Yarrowia lipolytica: one gene and its partner. The protein of the gene in region 1 interacts with the protein of each later gene in a biochemical or structural test. Links are inferred from orthologs where the notes say so. Each region holds a gene or a part of one and is shown on either strand. Other genes may lie near its edges.

Region 1 (8,492 bases):
CCAACAAGACCATTTCAATAGTCCCCGGGTCTGGCAAAAAACGGCCCCTACTGCTGGAAGATGAGGAGGAGGACGAACTTTATCCCGTGACCAAGTCTCTTCCTAAGCTGAGGAAAGACAGGGAAGATACGGGCAAGCCAAAGAGTGTGGTGAAACATAAGTTTTTGACCGCTGCACAGAGACAATTGATGGGAAAGAAAAGTTCTGGGACTGGTTCTGACTCGACAAACTCGTTTACCAAGCCAAGAACGGTCCTGTGTTCAGATGGAAAACTACCACTTCCAGGATTCTCCATTGTTCTGGTGTCCAATCCCGTGTACAAACAATACGGGCTCCATTCTACTCCTGTGACCCAGCAAACACTGCAGACCCAAGTTGATTCGTTTCTGGACTCTCTGAATTTTACTTTGGCGTCAGAGAACCCCTACAAGTCGAAATTGGACAGCAAGTTCCAGCTGGCGGGGAGTGCTGTTGAGGGTCCGAAGGAGGCAAGTGCGAGGACGGTGGTCCAAGAGTGGGTGCCATCAAAGCTGCTCTGTAAGCGAATGGGCATAAGGTATGAGAAGCCGAGGGAGGAGGATGTCAGGGAGGTTACGAGAGGTGGATTTGGAAGGGAGAAGATAGAAAAGCTGAGGAGGTTGTTTAGCTAGAACATCGAGTTTAGCGAAGCACTAATCAATTGGATCCTGAAGCTCTGAATACCTACTCGGTGCTCTGAGAAACTGCACACCTACTCGGAGCTCTGATAAACTACACACCAGAGCTATGTCGGAAGTTGACTGAAACAACTATGAAACCAATGACCTTGTACCATTATCACGGGCGTTCACCAATACCAGATTAATTGGTTTTGAGGCCTTACACATGAGGCACTGGGAGAACACACGATCCCGGGACTGTCTCTCTCAGACATTAATCTGCGTCAAGACGAAGTACTAAAGAGCTCTAACATGTCACGGCAACCAACCCCCCGCATCTTAGTCATAAATAAATTACTATACAGGTTTTGTATCGTACACCTCGCCAGCAGATTCCTCAGGGGCGTAGCACAGCTCATTCCTTCCAATGTCTCCATCACTAATAAGCGCTGTTCGGAAACATCACTGCCTTCAAGTTGTTCAAAAACCCCTTGTCGTAGATGTTAACAATCGGTTTATGGTCCGTCAGCAAGGTCAAGGCGAGACCATTCTGGGCAACGTACTCCCGCTCCTCCGCTGTCAGAGATCTGTTCGGTCGTCCCTCCTCGTCTTTCTGCAACAAAATGCTTCGATCAAGCTTGAAACCCGGCTTCTGAAACATCCATACACTGCCCTCGGAAATGGCAGCATGGATATCGCCCCATTTATCCGTTTCATTGGTGGTGGCTCCAAGGTAAATATAGTAGAAATGCATCGCTGTGAAGGCACAGGCTAGAGCACCGGTAGACACCGACAGCAGAAAGATAATCCCCACCCGTTTGTTCTCATTGGTGATCATGACCTGCCACCATTGCGAAAAGATACTTGGCAGCGGTTTGGGATGGTCCTTGTACTCCGCGGCCACCATGACAATCATTTTGAGGCCTGCCAGAAGAGCTCCCCAACACAGGGTCCAGACATTGCCCAGCAGGAAGAAGAGGAACCATCTGTAGTTGTACAGACCCACCGTGTTGTTGATCCAGAGACAATAGTGGTCGAACTTGGCAACGCACTTGTTGGTGAACCGGTCGTGCTTGGATCTTGCAGGCTTGGTGAACTTGCACGTGCTACATTCTGTGTCTTCCAGGAACATGAGGTTGTCAAACCTGAACTGGTTGAGCAGCAGGGCGTGGTTTTGTTTGGTGATTTTGCCGGGGTCCGAGAAGGTGGCAAGTACAAAAGATACAACCAGAATCGTGTAGGCCACAGGCGCCAGCCACGCGTAATACCAGTGATTTTCTGCGATGAACGGATGCAAATCTTCATAGTAGGCAGAGAACATGTAGGTCGTGAAGGCGCAGTAGAGAATGGGCACGGACCATGGAGCTGCGGGAGCAACCACAGAGCCGCAGAAGTCGCCCACTACCGAGAGACGGCCCCCACAGTACTTTGAGTCCCACGATCTGATGGCTGCCGGACGGTTGCTGAGCCATTTTCGGAACTTCCAGACCGCAGTGTCCTCGAATTGAGGCAACGCGCCGAACAAGAACACAAACGTGAACACGGAGATGGCCAGGATCGAGAGTAGGTAGATTTTGAGCCACATTGTGCAATGTTGGGTGTTGCAATGTGCTGGTGGTGAATGTCGAGATGCGTCAGATCTGTTCACTATGCAGAGTCATGTGACCGAACTTGGTTGTTTAAACAAAACAAAAGATGTGCATTTTACTTGGATAAAATATACGGAATATGCGGGATATACAGAGGTTGTTCAAGGCAGAAGAAATGACGATAATTGTATCATATTGTACCAAAAATGCATGCTTGAAATGCTCATGGGTGGCCATATCTCCTTCCGAAGACAGGCGTGTCCTTCAGCTCGCTATGGAGGTGATTTGGACACTTTCGTCTAGAATAACAATAATAATCATGATAATAAAAGTCTCTCCAGCACCTCGTCTTAACTGCTACTTGTAGTAGGTATTATTTTATGTCGTATCGAAGTGACAACACGACCGATTGGCCACCCAAAAGTACGTCACGGGACAACGCCGCTCTAGTTATCTTTGCAGCCATCGAGGGAGAAAGTAAATGCCACCTTGTGGTCAACATTCTAATGGGCTTAAAATGGCCTAATTTTTTTTCTTTCCCGAGTTGAGCAAGTTCATCTGTAGATCTATGCTGTTGGTGATGTCACACTGTACTGTAGTTAGTAATAACAATAATGTCAGCGGTGCTGGGTGACTCCTTCAACACTCGAGATGACTCGCAGGAAGAAAGAGACTCATTGCAAACAACCCGACCAGTCCCACACGGTCGATTTTCCTCTATTTTACTCTTTTTCCCGGAGAATTTCTTTTCCCATGATTCAACTTCGAGCTATTTCCTTTTTTTCTTTTTTTTTCCTTCTTTCCCCTTTTTTCCCTCTTTTCCCTTTTTTTCCTTTTTTCCTTCCTTTTTTTCTTTCTTTCTTTTCTAATGATCCGTTTTTAATTCTAAAGATCACCATTTTGGGACGTCCCAGCTCGTGCACCTTTAGCCCCGATCAGGACCTTAGACCACTACAATAAGCCCATACGTGTCCTTAGCGGGTCAGGAGTTCGATCCTCGACCGGAGTGGTTTGGTTTCTCACCAATTCGCGTCATTTCGGCGCTCTTGGCATGTCACAGCCGGTTATATATAGCTCAGCCAAGATTCACCCTGACAGCCCGAGGCAGCCATTCCGGAGAGAGATAGGAAAAAAGAGAGATAGAGAGAGAGCAAGTTGAGTACAGTGCGAGTGCAAGTAGCTACCGGCACGGCCTGAAGGAAAAAGGCTACATCAAAACCGTGTCCTTTACGAGATCCACAGCTACAAGTTCTGCCACACTCTGATTTCATCCCATTACTCCGAAAGCTGTATCTCTCTGACATAATTTTTTAATTTTTATTTTTAATTTTTATTTTTTAAATATTTTATTTCTACAATGTACAGTACTGTAGTTAGTTTTCTCCGTACTGTACTGTACTTGCCCTTGATGTGGTATATCCAATAAAACAGCACTTGATACAGCCTGAGAGCTACAAAAAAGCTGTCAAGACTATCATATCCATCCTGGACCATTCTAGACCTGTCCAGACGTCCCCAGACCACTTCACGTGACCGCTATCCTCCTCTCCACGTGACCTCCCACTCTCAATGTGTCCCGGTATATGTTATCCCCTCTGCGCTATTACATGCACCATCTGCATACTCCCAATCACCACTATCGTGCAGGACTCCACTCGGTGAACACCACACAACTGCAACTACACCTTTTGAGCTACTCGTGCCAGTGGAGCCATGTCGTTTCTCACCTCGCTCAAAAACAAGGCGCTGGAGCTGTTTGAGCCGGAAACCTCGTCCGGCGTCATCCAGACCGCCGCCGATACAGCGCAATTTTCCGACTACAAACGCCGACTCAACAAGGACGAAAAGTTCCGGCTTCAATTTAGTCTGCCGGACTCGCAGAAGCTGCTGGCGGATATCAGCGTCGAGGTTGCGCTTCAGAACGCAGAAAACCCGCCCGTCAACCCGGGCCAGGCGGCCCGCTCGGAATCTCTCATTGAGTTCTCCAACGTCATCTACCAGGGCAAGCTGTACCTGTCGGACTCGTTTTTGTGCTTCACAGCCACCGACGCGCGTCAATGCTCGTTTGCGCTGCCCCTGCTGACGGTCAAACGGGTCGAGCGACTCCCGCTCAAGTCGTACCTCTTTGCGCTGTCCATCAAGACATACAACGGCCTGACGCTCGTCATCCAGTTCATCGGCATCAAGTCCGCCTGCGACCGCTTTTCGCTCGCCCTCAAGGCCCAATTGGGCAAGAACCTTGCCAAGATCAAGTCTCTCAAGCCCTTCCTCGCCACCCTGTACTCGGAGTACTTGTTGAACGTAATTTCTTCCGGCCAAAAGGGCGACGCTCCCCCTCCACCACTGGGAGGTCTCGGACAGGTGTTCCGATACCCCGGAGACGCCAAAAAGCTGCGGGATAAGTCCAAGATGCGCCTGTGGCTCGAGTACTTCCAGACGCATGGACGCAACCTGACTTTGGTGAGACAACAGACCTTCTACAAACTCATCCGAGTGGGTCTGCCCAACCGACTGAGAGGCGAAATTTGGGAACTCACGTCGGGGTCGTTGTACCTGCGTCTCGCCCACCAGAGCATGTACAACGACCTGCTTGAGGAGTACGAAGGAAAAACTTCTCAGGCCACAGAAGAGATTGAAAAGGATCTCAATCGATCTCTGCCGGAGTACTCAGCTTACCAAGACGAGGAGGGTATCGCCAGACTGAGACGCGTCCTCACAGTGTACTCCTGGAAGAACCCCGATGTTGGATACTGTCAGGCCATGAACATTGTCATTGCCGCCTTTCTAATCTACATGTCTGAAGAGCAGGCCTTTTGGTGTCTGAATGTCCTCTGCGACAAAATGCTCCCCGGATACTACTCAAAGAGCATGTACGGCACGTTGCTTGATCAGAAGGTGTTTGAGTCTCTGGTCGAGAAGACTATGCCTCTTCTGTGGGACCATCTTCAGCGATGCGACGTGCAACTGTCGGTCGTCTCTCTGCCGTGGTTCCTTTCAATTTTCATCAATTCCATGCCTCTGGTGTTTGCCTTCAGAATCATTGATGTATTCTTCCTTGAGGGACCCAAGCTTTTGTTCCAGGTGGCTCTGGCTATTCTTCGAATCAACGGAGAGCGGCTTCTTGAAGCTGATGACGATGGACTTATGATTGGAATCATCAAGGAATACTTTTTGACACTTGATCAGTCAGCTCACCCAACTTCAAAAAACGAGAAGCTCAGATCAATCACAAAGTTCCAAGAGTTGATGGTTGTCGCTATGAAGGAGTTCTCTGTCATCACTGAGCCTCTGATCACCGAGCAGCGGGCCAAGTATCAGGACCGGGTGCTGGAAGACATTGAAATCTTTGCCAAACGAACTTCCATCCGAAACCTTCACAAGACCAAGAACTTGTCTCAGGATGATCTGTCAGTCCTCTACGACAGATACCACACTTACCGAGAAATGAATCTGGAAAACTACCAGAACTTCCTCTCGTCGGTGGTCTGTTGGACAGAACCTCAGGAACTTTCTATTGACGGTACACCCGACTTTTTGCGGCGTCTATACACCCGCTGGGACGCCGATATGAAGGGCACTTTGTCTCTTCAGAATGTTGTCACTGGAATTGACGCTCTGAAGCAGTCCGATCTCATGGGTCTGATGACGTACTTCTTTGAGCTGTACGACGACGATGGAGACGGCCAGATCGATAGAGAGGGTATTCTGAGCATGTCCGAGGGTTTGCTGTTCCTGACAAAGGCCTGGAGAGAAGGTACAGTGTACACTGATGGAGCTCCCATTCTTGATCAGATATCGCTTGTGGAACTTGACCGAAGAGAGCAGGAACGCCAGGAACTCCTGCAGCAGGAGGAGATTCGTCTGGCCGAGGAGATGGAAGCTCTCCGTCTCGAGGCTGAGCAGCAGAAGCTGGCTGAAGAGAACACTTCAGAAGCTATTTTTGACACTCCTGACACCGATGAGGACGATGCCAAGAGCACCAAGAGTTCCAAGAGTGCCAAGAGCGTGTCTTCTCGATCGATCAAATCAACTATCGGCTCAATTGGAGCCGCTGGAGGTGCTGTGAGCGGAGCTGCAATTGGAGCTGTTCGAGGAGCTGTCAGACGAAAGTCGTTTAAGGATATTGGCGATCCTATGCAGGAACGGCAAAAGGTGGCTCATGAGCAGAACGTGCGGTATTTGTCTGCCGTTTCTGCCTTCATTCAGCGTGCTTTTGAATATGCCAACGAGGCCAAAAAGGAGGCCGACAAGGAGGCTGCTGGGGACAAGGGTAAGGATTCTGAGGACTCTGTAGAGGCTCACAATGCAGCTCTTGACCCTAGCAAACCCCTGTTCATCGATCTGCCCACTTTCCGAATGGTGGTTCTGGCCGATGAGACGCTCGAGACGCTGTTTGCCGTGTCTCTTCCTCAGAGTGTCATTCTGCGACAGTCTGATGCCGATAGACACAAGCGAGCGTCTCTGCGAGACGTGTTTGACGGTTTGGTGGCGGATGGAATGCGCGTTGCAGGCGAGGTGCGAAAGAGAATCGACATTGATAAGAGTGTCAATGACTCGGAGGATATTGGAGAGGTGGTGAGTGGTAAGGATCGGGATGTGTTGGATGAGGCAATCTAGAGAGATATTGAGGTTGATGGCGTCATGAAATGAGCGGAGCGAGCCGCGAGACTCAGACAGAGACTTCTCAGTGGACACGTGAGCGGTTAGCGGTCCACGACCACTCTCCAAATGTAGAGATGATTAATGTTAATGTTTATGATATGACAAGATGGTATATGTACAACTGTAGAGTGACCCAGATCACGTGTGTTTGTGGACAGTCACGTGATCATCCTCCCCCACAGTGCGTGACAGCCATCTGGTGAAGTTCAGAAGAGACGATTGAGCTTCAGATTGTTGGTGTGTAGAATGGTTGAATGATAACGTACGGAATGGTGTGACCAATAGTTACCCCTTTCGCGAGCCAGCCATTGATTGGTCTCTCTTAATGACTCTTGCCATGTCCCACTGCTGTCTAAACCATGTCAGTTGAGATATTAGTTAGACTTTGTTAAGAAGGAAAGAGAGCTGTGGGACCATATCTACGACTACAGACATCGTGAAGCTATAAAATGTAGCCCATATGGTAGTATATAAGTCCTTTGATAAGTGTTTCCGAGTTGTAAAGTTTTTCACCGTGAATTATTTGTCTATCTGAGATTCAATTTTTATTTCATAACCAGTATTGTTGACATTTAGTTGATTTACTTTCACCAGTTACATAGACCCAACCACACAGTCCAGAACTTGGAATAGTGTACCGAAAGACTTGGGAAGAGATCAATTCTAAGAAACTACAAAAGAAGGATATTATATATCAGTCAATGTGATAGAATCTAGTCTATTGATGTTCTCCTAGCCACGTTGAGTCGTCTCTGGTTGTATCACCATAAGAAGACCTTCAACTCGCACAATACTGTTCCGATAACAACTAAACGGAAATGGACTAACTGAATCAAACTGAAGATAAAAATACACAGAAATAACCGCCACGATCGAACTAGGTCACGTGACTTTCGGGGAAACAACAACTTGATGATGATATGCCTCTACTCAGGTGCATAGATAAGGCCTGATCATGCAGGACAGTTTTCTTCGTCAACTTTTGTATCTTCATGACTACGTCAAAGACTCAATTGTGGCAGGTAAAAGAGCGGTGAATGATGGAACAAGAATTCTGAGACGTGATTGAAGGGCCAATTGAACAGGGTACTCGAACCTAGGGTCTCAGCTCATGTGCTACAAGTTCCTGTTGCGGCTGTGACTATCAAAGGCCGCCTTTCATTTCCCACATGGAGTTTGGTCATTATTTTTTCATGTTTTTGTCATGGTTTTGTCACGAATATACAGTAAATCTTTCCACTCTTGACGTTTTTCCACAGCTCTCGTTCATAGCCGATCTCGTTGTAGTCAATCAGACGGGCCATGTTGCCGGCACCATTCTGCTGACTTATGGGCCTGCTCCTACTGTAGTGTCATGAACAGCTGGTCCTATCAGTCAGCATGGTAGTGGCAAGGAGTCACGTGATAACCGATTCCGCAAGAAGGCAATATGAATCAAACCTCGTCAGATGGTTGGAAGTCGTAGAATTATCTAAGGGCACCTATCTATGGATCATTACGAGGGCTCCCAAGGCTTAACTAATATTACAACTAAATATCGTTAAATCCAAGTAGTTCAACAAAATGTAGACCGTTGCAGAATTTGGTTACTACTTCAATAAGG
Region 2 (6,672 bases), on another chromosome or scaffold:
CAGCAGCAGCAGCAGTTTCCACGTCGGCTCTGTCAGTGGAAGACGTGCGACTGGCTATTGCTGCTCGAGTCAACTACCAGTTCAAGCCAGCACCACCCAAAGAACTGCTTCTGGAGATGGCACAGGAACGTAACCGACGAGCTCTGCCACAGGTACAGCCTGGCTACGGCTTGAGACTGCCCCCGGAGAAGTACTGTCTCACTGCCAAGGAGTGGGATTTGGACGAGGAGGAAGAAGAGACTGTTGAGGGAGCTGAAGAGACCAATAACAACAGCAGCAATGAGGATAAGGAAATGAAGGATGCGGTCTAATTAGGTGTATTTTTATTGATTATTGAACTCCGCCGGAGTAAAGGTTGGAATTTCATGGATATTTGACGAGAGGTGTTCGTAGTGCTTCAAGGGAGAGCAAGAGATGCATCAGAAACCATTGAAAGACTGATTCCGAGACACAAACTACACTGCTGTACACATAAATGCATTCCACAGCCGTACGCTTCATTGTACAACATGATACCACGAGTACAATTAGTTACTTGTACTGAAAAAGCTATACAAGACCATTCGCTACGCTCCAATTCTTGAGGTCAACAACAACAATATAAATACACTATGCTAGTCTCGCCGTTGGTTACGACTGAATCTCGGAAAAGTTCTGCACCAGTTTTCCCACCGGCTTGACGTTGGACTCCTTGGCAACCAGCTCCACAAACTTGCCGACATGCTTGGAAACCACCTGTTTGTCCTTTTCGCTCAGGTTGGCCTTGCTCACGTGAGAAGCATCGCTAGCAAGCACCACAATGCCTGTTTCGGGGTCCAGCTGGCGCTTGAAGTCGGAGGCACTTCGTTTTTGGGTGATGCCGTTCGGGGATTCGACCTGGGCCACCGCGCCGACGTCGATGAGATTCGAGCCGGTGCTCGTCACAATCTGATGCAGGTTAGACATGCGTTTCTGGCGGTCCGAAGGGTCCACTGCATTATCGTCTGTGGTGTCGATTGTGTTGTTTCCAAGAAGAGGTTCATTTTCGGAGATCTGGGTTAGTAATCTGCATAGAGAGAGTGTGTGGGGAAAAGATGCCGGCAATCAAATGAATACTCACACCAGGAGGGTCTTCCTCAACGGGCCCTCTTAAGCAAGACAGCAAGACACCCATTTGCTGTGTGTTGTTAGTAAGATGGTGATGGAGATATGAAAGTGTGGAGATGCATGTTTGAACTTAGATGAATATCATAACAAGAAAGGAGAGTAGTTACTGGGATGTAATGGATATGTCGGGAAGGTGATGAATATGAAATATACCATGAAATTACTGGAGAAATTGATTTTGATACTCATTTTTGTAATTTATTGCATATTTACCAACTTAAACACTTTTGTTAATAATTACTTAACCCCCCAAGTAATACATCAAAGCCCATGTACTCCCAACCCTAACCCCCAAACAAGGTTCTGGCCAACCAAACGAAGGGTAAAATCTCAAGCTCTGTAGTAATAGCGTCAAGATCACGGTTCAGCTCGGAGGCTCAGAACACAACCCCAAAAATGCGATACACACAGCTGCTGCGAAACGTCTCCAAGGGAGTCCAGAAGAGTGGCCAGAGCGTCCTCGTTCAGATGCGAGAGGGAAGTGAGTATCTATGTGGTTTTTAAACCTGACTGTGCACTACACAACTACGTCTGATGTCACCACGACAGGAGACGAATGTCTTGTCTATGCCACTAACAAAGCTCCTATCGGTCTGACCGGTATCTACCAGCATCCCAACCCCCGACCGGCACTGATTGCCCTGTACGAGGCCACCCTCAAGGAGCTGCAAGACAAGCACCCCAAGGACTCTGTCTACCGACAGTCCATCGAGAACCTGACTGCTCACCGAAAGCAGATTGTGGAGGACAACGAGGTCAGTGAGGTGATCGAGAACAAGATCGGAGCCGGTCTCATTGAGGAGGTGGTCATCCAGGCCCACGAGGAGCTCGAGCTCGCCAAGAAGATGAGCGAGTGGAAGCCCTGGGAGGAGCTGGAGGAGAAGCCTTTGGAGGACCAGTGGGTTTACTTCAACAAGAAGGGTGTTGAATAAGGGTATAGCATAAAGATGTGGATATTGACGATCATGAGCGTGGTTAATGACCCGTGAGCGAACCAATGGCTTGTGAATGGTCCAATGAGTGAGCCACCGCAGTCGGACAAGCCATTTGCTCGGTCTCATGGCCTCATGAGAACGTAGACAAGTCATTGTTGGACAATGGTTTACAAAATGTGGGCGTAGAAATAGAACGGCTCTTTGATTAGCTACTTGTAGTCTACAGTATTTATGGAGAATCTCGTCATGTACAGTATGTACATACTTGTACGATAGAAGTGACAGATGACAGAGGTATACTTTTTTGAAGTTGTTTATTACCGTGCTAGATGGCGCCGTAGAGCGGTGATATTGATTCAATGAGCAGTCTACAAGTGTACCAGTACGAGTACCAGCACAAGAACGGGCGGTTCCACCAGTTACTGTAGCTAGAAGTACCAGTACAAGTAGCTAGTTAAAGTGTATCGACACTTCTCCATTATGATACTAACATGTTGATTTATCTTTCACAGTACTGCCATAGAGAACACGGAATCGTTTGTATTTATCTAAAGATCTACAAGTAGGTCGATAGTCCTGAAGTGTGTCCTAACAAGAAAGCGAAACCAACCATTGTACTACTGGTAGATACTTACAACACTACATCACAGAGTCTGACTGGCATCTTACTATAATTCATGACGCAATTAATATACTATATACCCTCTTCAGTTAACAGCACTTGGAGGCGGAGTTTTCCTCGCCCTCGGCGATGTTGATGCCGCCCGACCCAGACTCGTTGCCCTTGGTCTTGGCCACAGTGTCCCTGATTCGAGTGGCAACCGAGTAGAAACACTCCTCGACGTTAATGTTGGTCTTGGATGAGGCCTCCAAGAAGGGAATGCCAAACTTATCTGCCAAGGCCTGGCCCTGTTCTGTGGAAACGACTCGCTTCTCATCGAGGTCGCACTTGTTGCCAACCAGAATGAGCTCGACGCCCTCGTTGGCGTAGCTCTGCACGTTCTGGTACCAGTTTTCAATGTTGTTGAAGGACTTTTCGTCCGTCACGTCGTACACCAGCAGAATGCCCATGGCGCCCCGGTAGTAGGCGGTGGTGATGGTTCGGAACCGCTCCTGGCCGGCCGTGTCCCACACTTGCAGCTTGACCCGCTGATTGCCAATGTCAATCGTTCGGATTTTGAAGTCGATACCAATGGTGGTGATGAAGGAGGGGGTGAACTGGTCCTCGCAGAACCGCAGCAGCAGACACGACTTGCCCACGCCGGAGTCGCCTATCAGCAGCAGCTTGATCAGCAGGTCGTATGTTCTCTGGGAGTGCGACATGGTATCTAGACAATCACGAAGGTGTGTTGTTGGTGTGTGTTCAAAAGATGATGGTGGACTTCTCTCGTGGTGCGCAGGGAGATAGTCCTGTGATTGTGAACTCTATTAGCAGGGGCTGGTGGCATGCTACCGGACATGACGGAGGGAGACGATAGTGGAGGAGCTAGCCGCCAAACTGATTAATAGACTTGATATATAGTTGACTCACCGCTGGAAATGCCCCATTCTCACCACCCGCGCCCCTCCGCCGACCCTCTACGCCCTCTATCGCCGCATCTACTCCTCTAGAACAACCTCCCTGTTAACACCGCACACTCAACTTGTCTTGTCCCAACTGGGCCACCATGCACACTTTTGCTACGTCACGGGTCGTCTCGGTGGCAAGATCCTAAGTTAGTGTGCTGCTCTTAGTTTTCGGTCTTAGTGGAATGAATACGGCTTGGGCAACGATATACGGACCAGGCTGACTCATTGTGCACCCCCCAGTGTACGTTACTAAGAGACCGCCCTCTTATATTACTAATATTATCACCCCTGCGTCATCCGCACGACCACTATACTGTCTGAACTAGGATACTTGCACACTGCTGTACGATACGGACTTACTGGAGATATCTCCATTGTCAGGTCATTGTCTGCTCGTAAAGTAATTATTCGGTCCGGAAATAAGTTGGCGTTAATAGAGTTAGTAAGCCAAAGTAACACAGATTATGACTTTGTTTAAAATTTTGTGATATCGCACGAAACTTGTACCTTGTATATTACGACTCCAACGATCTACAACCGCCGGCCTTCTCTGTATAGTAGCTACGAGTACTGTTTTCGTACTTGCATTCACTCGTAGTCAATAAACTTTGCACGTTGCGGGCAAAATCAAACCCCGATCTGCTTTGCCGCCTCATAACGCCACACTAGCCACTTCCGGGTAACACATTGAAACTCTATCGCATGCAGAGGAAAGCTCATAATTACAGGTGCAACTCATCATTGCCCTGATCTTCACGCATCTCAACACCATACAATGCTTCGAACATTGACCCGTTTACGACTGCAACCGCTGCAATCCGCAGCCATCGCCCGACCTCTTACACAGCCTCTTCTGCAGAAGCGATGGAACTCCACACAGCCTCCCAAGGATAACGAGCAACAAGCGGCTCCTGCTTCTTCGGAAGGAGACAAGCCCAAGCGAAAGCCTCTGTCCCGAATCTCCGTCTCCAAGGGTGCTTCTCCCGGAGAGATGCACCGACGACAATACAAGGGCATTTTCGACTTCAAGGTCTTTGCTCTGTTCGTGGCCTCTGGAGTGGGTATCTACTGGTTCTTCCAGAGCGAAAAGGCCAAGGTGACCCAGCGACGAGAGGCTGAGGCCAACCGAGGCTACGGCAAGCCCCTTGTGGGCGGCCCCTTTGTGCTTCAGGATCACAAGGGCGGTATTTTCAGCAGTGAGGACCTTAAGGGCAAGTTTTCGCTTCTGTACTTTGGATTCTCAATGTGTCCCGATATCTGTCCCGATGAGCTCGATAAGATGGCCATTATGATCGACGAGGTCAACAAGAGCAACCCCGGCCAGCTGCAGCCTCTGTTTATCACCTGTGATCCCGCCCGAGACTCTCCTGAGGTTCTAGAGGAGTACCTGTCCGAGTTCCATCCTCAGATTCTGGGTCTTACTGGTACCTATGACGAGATCAAGCAGACCTGCAAGGCCTACCGAGTCTACTTTTCCACTCCTCCTAACGTCAAGCCTGGTCAGGACTACCTCGTTGACCACTCCATCTTCTTTTACCTCATGGATCCCGAGGGACAGTTCCTGGACGTGCTGGGACGAAACCTGACTGCTGAGGAGGCCGTGGCCAAGATCCGAGAGGACATTAAGACCTGGGAGCCCAAGGCTGTCCGAGACCGAAAGAGCAAGGGCTGGTTTGGTTCCTTCTTTTACTAGACTAGTGTGTACATAGCTGAGCTAGCAGCAATATATTCTCCTGCAGCAAGAGATCATGAGCGAAATGATTTTCTTACTTGTAAGGTCGGTAGATAGGCAAATGGCCTCTGGTAATGCACATGACTTGCAAAGTGATTGGCAACGTCTCTAATGGACGAATGGCCCTGTCAGCTCTAATACTATCAAGGACTGGTACGCTTGTAGGTGACGAGGATGATAATTGATACTTCAATGAAGATAATGAGTGAACCTGATACAATGGTTATCATTGTGCTTCCCAGTATGCATATAGCAGAAATACTGTAGGTACAGTAGGGGTATGAGTGTACCTCTTACGAACGTATTTGTACGCTAGCTAGAACCCAACTTTTGCGCCCCGATAGCTTCCAGATCCCCAGAGAGCTCCAAGTACCGAATGCTGTACCTTCTATAGTTACGAAGTAGCTCTCAGGTCCGTCATTTAAGATGCTTCTTCAATATAAGGTGGTCCCTCACTTTGCTACAATACTTGTACTGTAGGCACACAAATGAGGAGAACAACAACAGTACAGATATTGTCACTGCTCCTATCTTCTTTCGCAACAGCATGGAGCTCACCTTCGCCTGGAGATATCATTTTGGGGATGGACCAAGTGTCCTTGTTTTCCGACGATCAAGACGACTCCCATCCTTTCTACAAGATCCTACCTCATGCCATGACAGCCGACATCTTTGCTTCGATTTCACAGGAGCTGTCTCAGGACTGTCGCACTCTGGATCTGGCCGGCCGCAAGGTCGACATTCCCGTCAACACGACCCTTCTGTTCGTCTTCAACAGCACCCAGTATCTTTCGACAGGGTGTGATGACGGAGATATGTCGCAGTTCATGCAGACCTCTGTGCCGTTTGGACTCCCTCAGTACCATGCTCTAGTCGACTACTTCCTCCTGGTACCTGCCAACTACACCAAACCGTTCGCCTTCTCTCCAGATCTCGTCATCAAAGAGATCAACGCTCGCAAGTGCAGACTCCCGCTGTTTTTGGACATGATAGGCACTTCAGACCCACTGCTGGCGCTAATATTCAAGTCTGTGCACAAACCAGCTCCAGAGACCTCTGAGCCTGTTTCGCCTCGTCACTCAGGAGCTGCTCAGCAGTGCAAACAGCGACTGAAAGAGGTGTGTAACAGTCCCGACACGTCTGGCATAGCCCGAGCTGCTCTGGTGCAATCAGCCCCCTTCTTTGACGAGTTTGCGCATCTGTGGGTCGGTGCTCTGGGGCTCGAAAGTCTGTACAGCTCCGTCTTCTGCCAAGTGAACGAGGTGGTCACCGAGCAAAGCTTTTGTCTAC

The links.
Region 2: of the proteins of YALI1_B02550g (region 1) and YALI1_E27207g, one has a biochemical effect on the other in vitro, tested with the Saccharomyces cerevisiae proteins (2 studies listed by BioGRID). The link is inferred for Yarrowia lipolytica from reciprocal best matches to the Saccharomyces cerevisiae genes MDR1 and SEC4.

Annotation. Positions count from the first base shown.
Region 1 is NC_090771.1:251,122-259,613, forward strand, and holds YALI1_B02550g (uncharacterized protein), read left to right. Parts: upstream 1-3,940; coding exon 3,941-6,844; downstream 6,845-8,492. Other genes in the region: YALI1_B02506g (uncharacterized protein), read left to right, coding at 1-650; YALI1_B02533g (uncharacterized protein), read right to left, coding at 1,078-2,223.
Region 2 is NC_090774.1:2,717,419-2,724,090, reverse strand, and holds YALI1_E27207g (uncharacterized protein), read right to left. Parts: upstream 3,405-6,672; coding exon 2,793-3,404; downstream 1-2,792. Other genes in the region: YALI1_E27243g (uncharacterized protein), read left to right, coding at 1-311; YALI1_E27229g (uncharacterized protein), read right to left, coding at 631-1,032, 1,100-1,153; YALI1_E27218g (uncharacterized protein), read right to left, coding at 1,647-2,234; YALI1_E27196g (uncharacterized protein), read left to right, coding at 4,426-5,343; YALI1_E27182g (uncharacterized protein), read left to right, coding at 5,871-6,672. UniProt on the Saccharomyces cerevisiae protein: Involved in exocytosis. Maybe by regulating the binding and fusion of secretory vesicles with the cell surface. The GTP-bound form of SEC4 may interact with an effector, thereby stimulating its activity and leading to exocytotic fusion.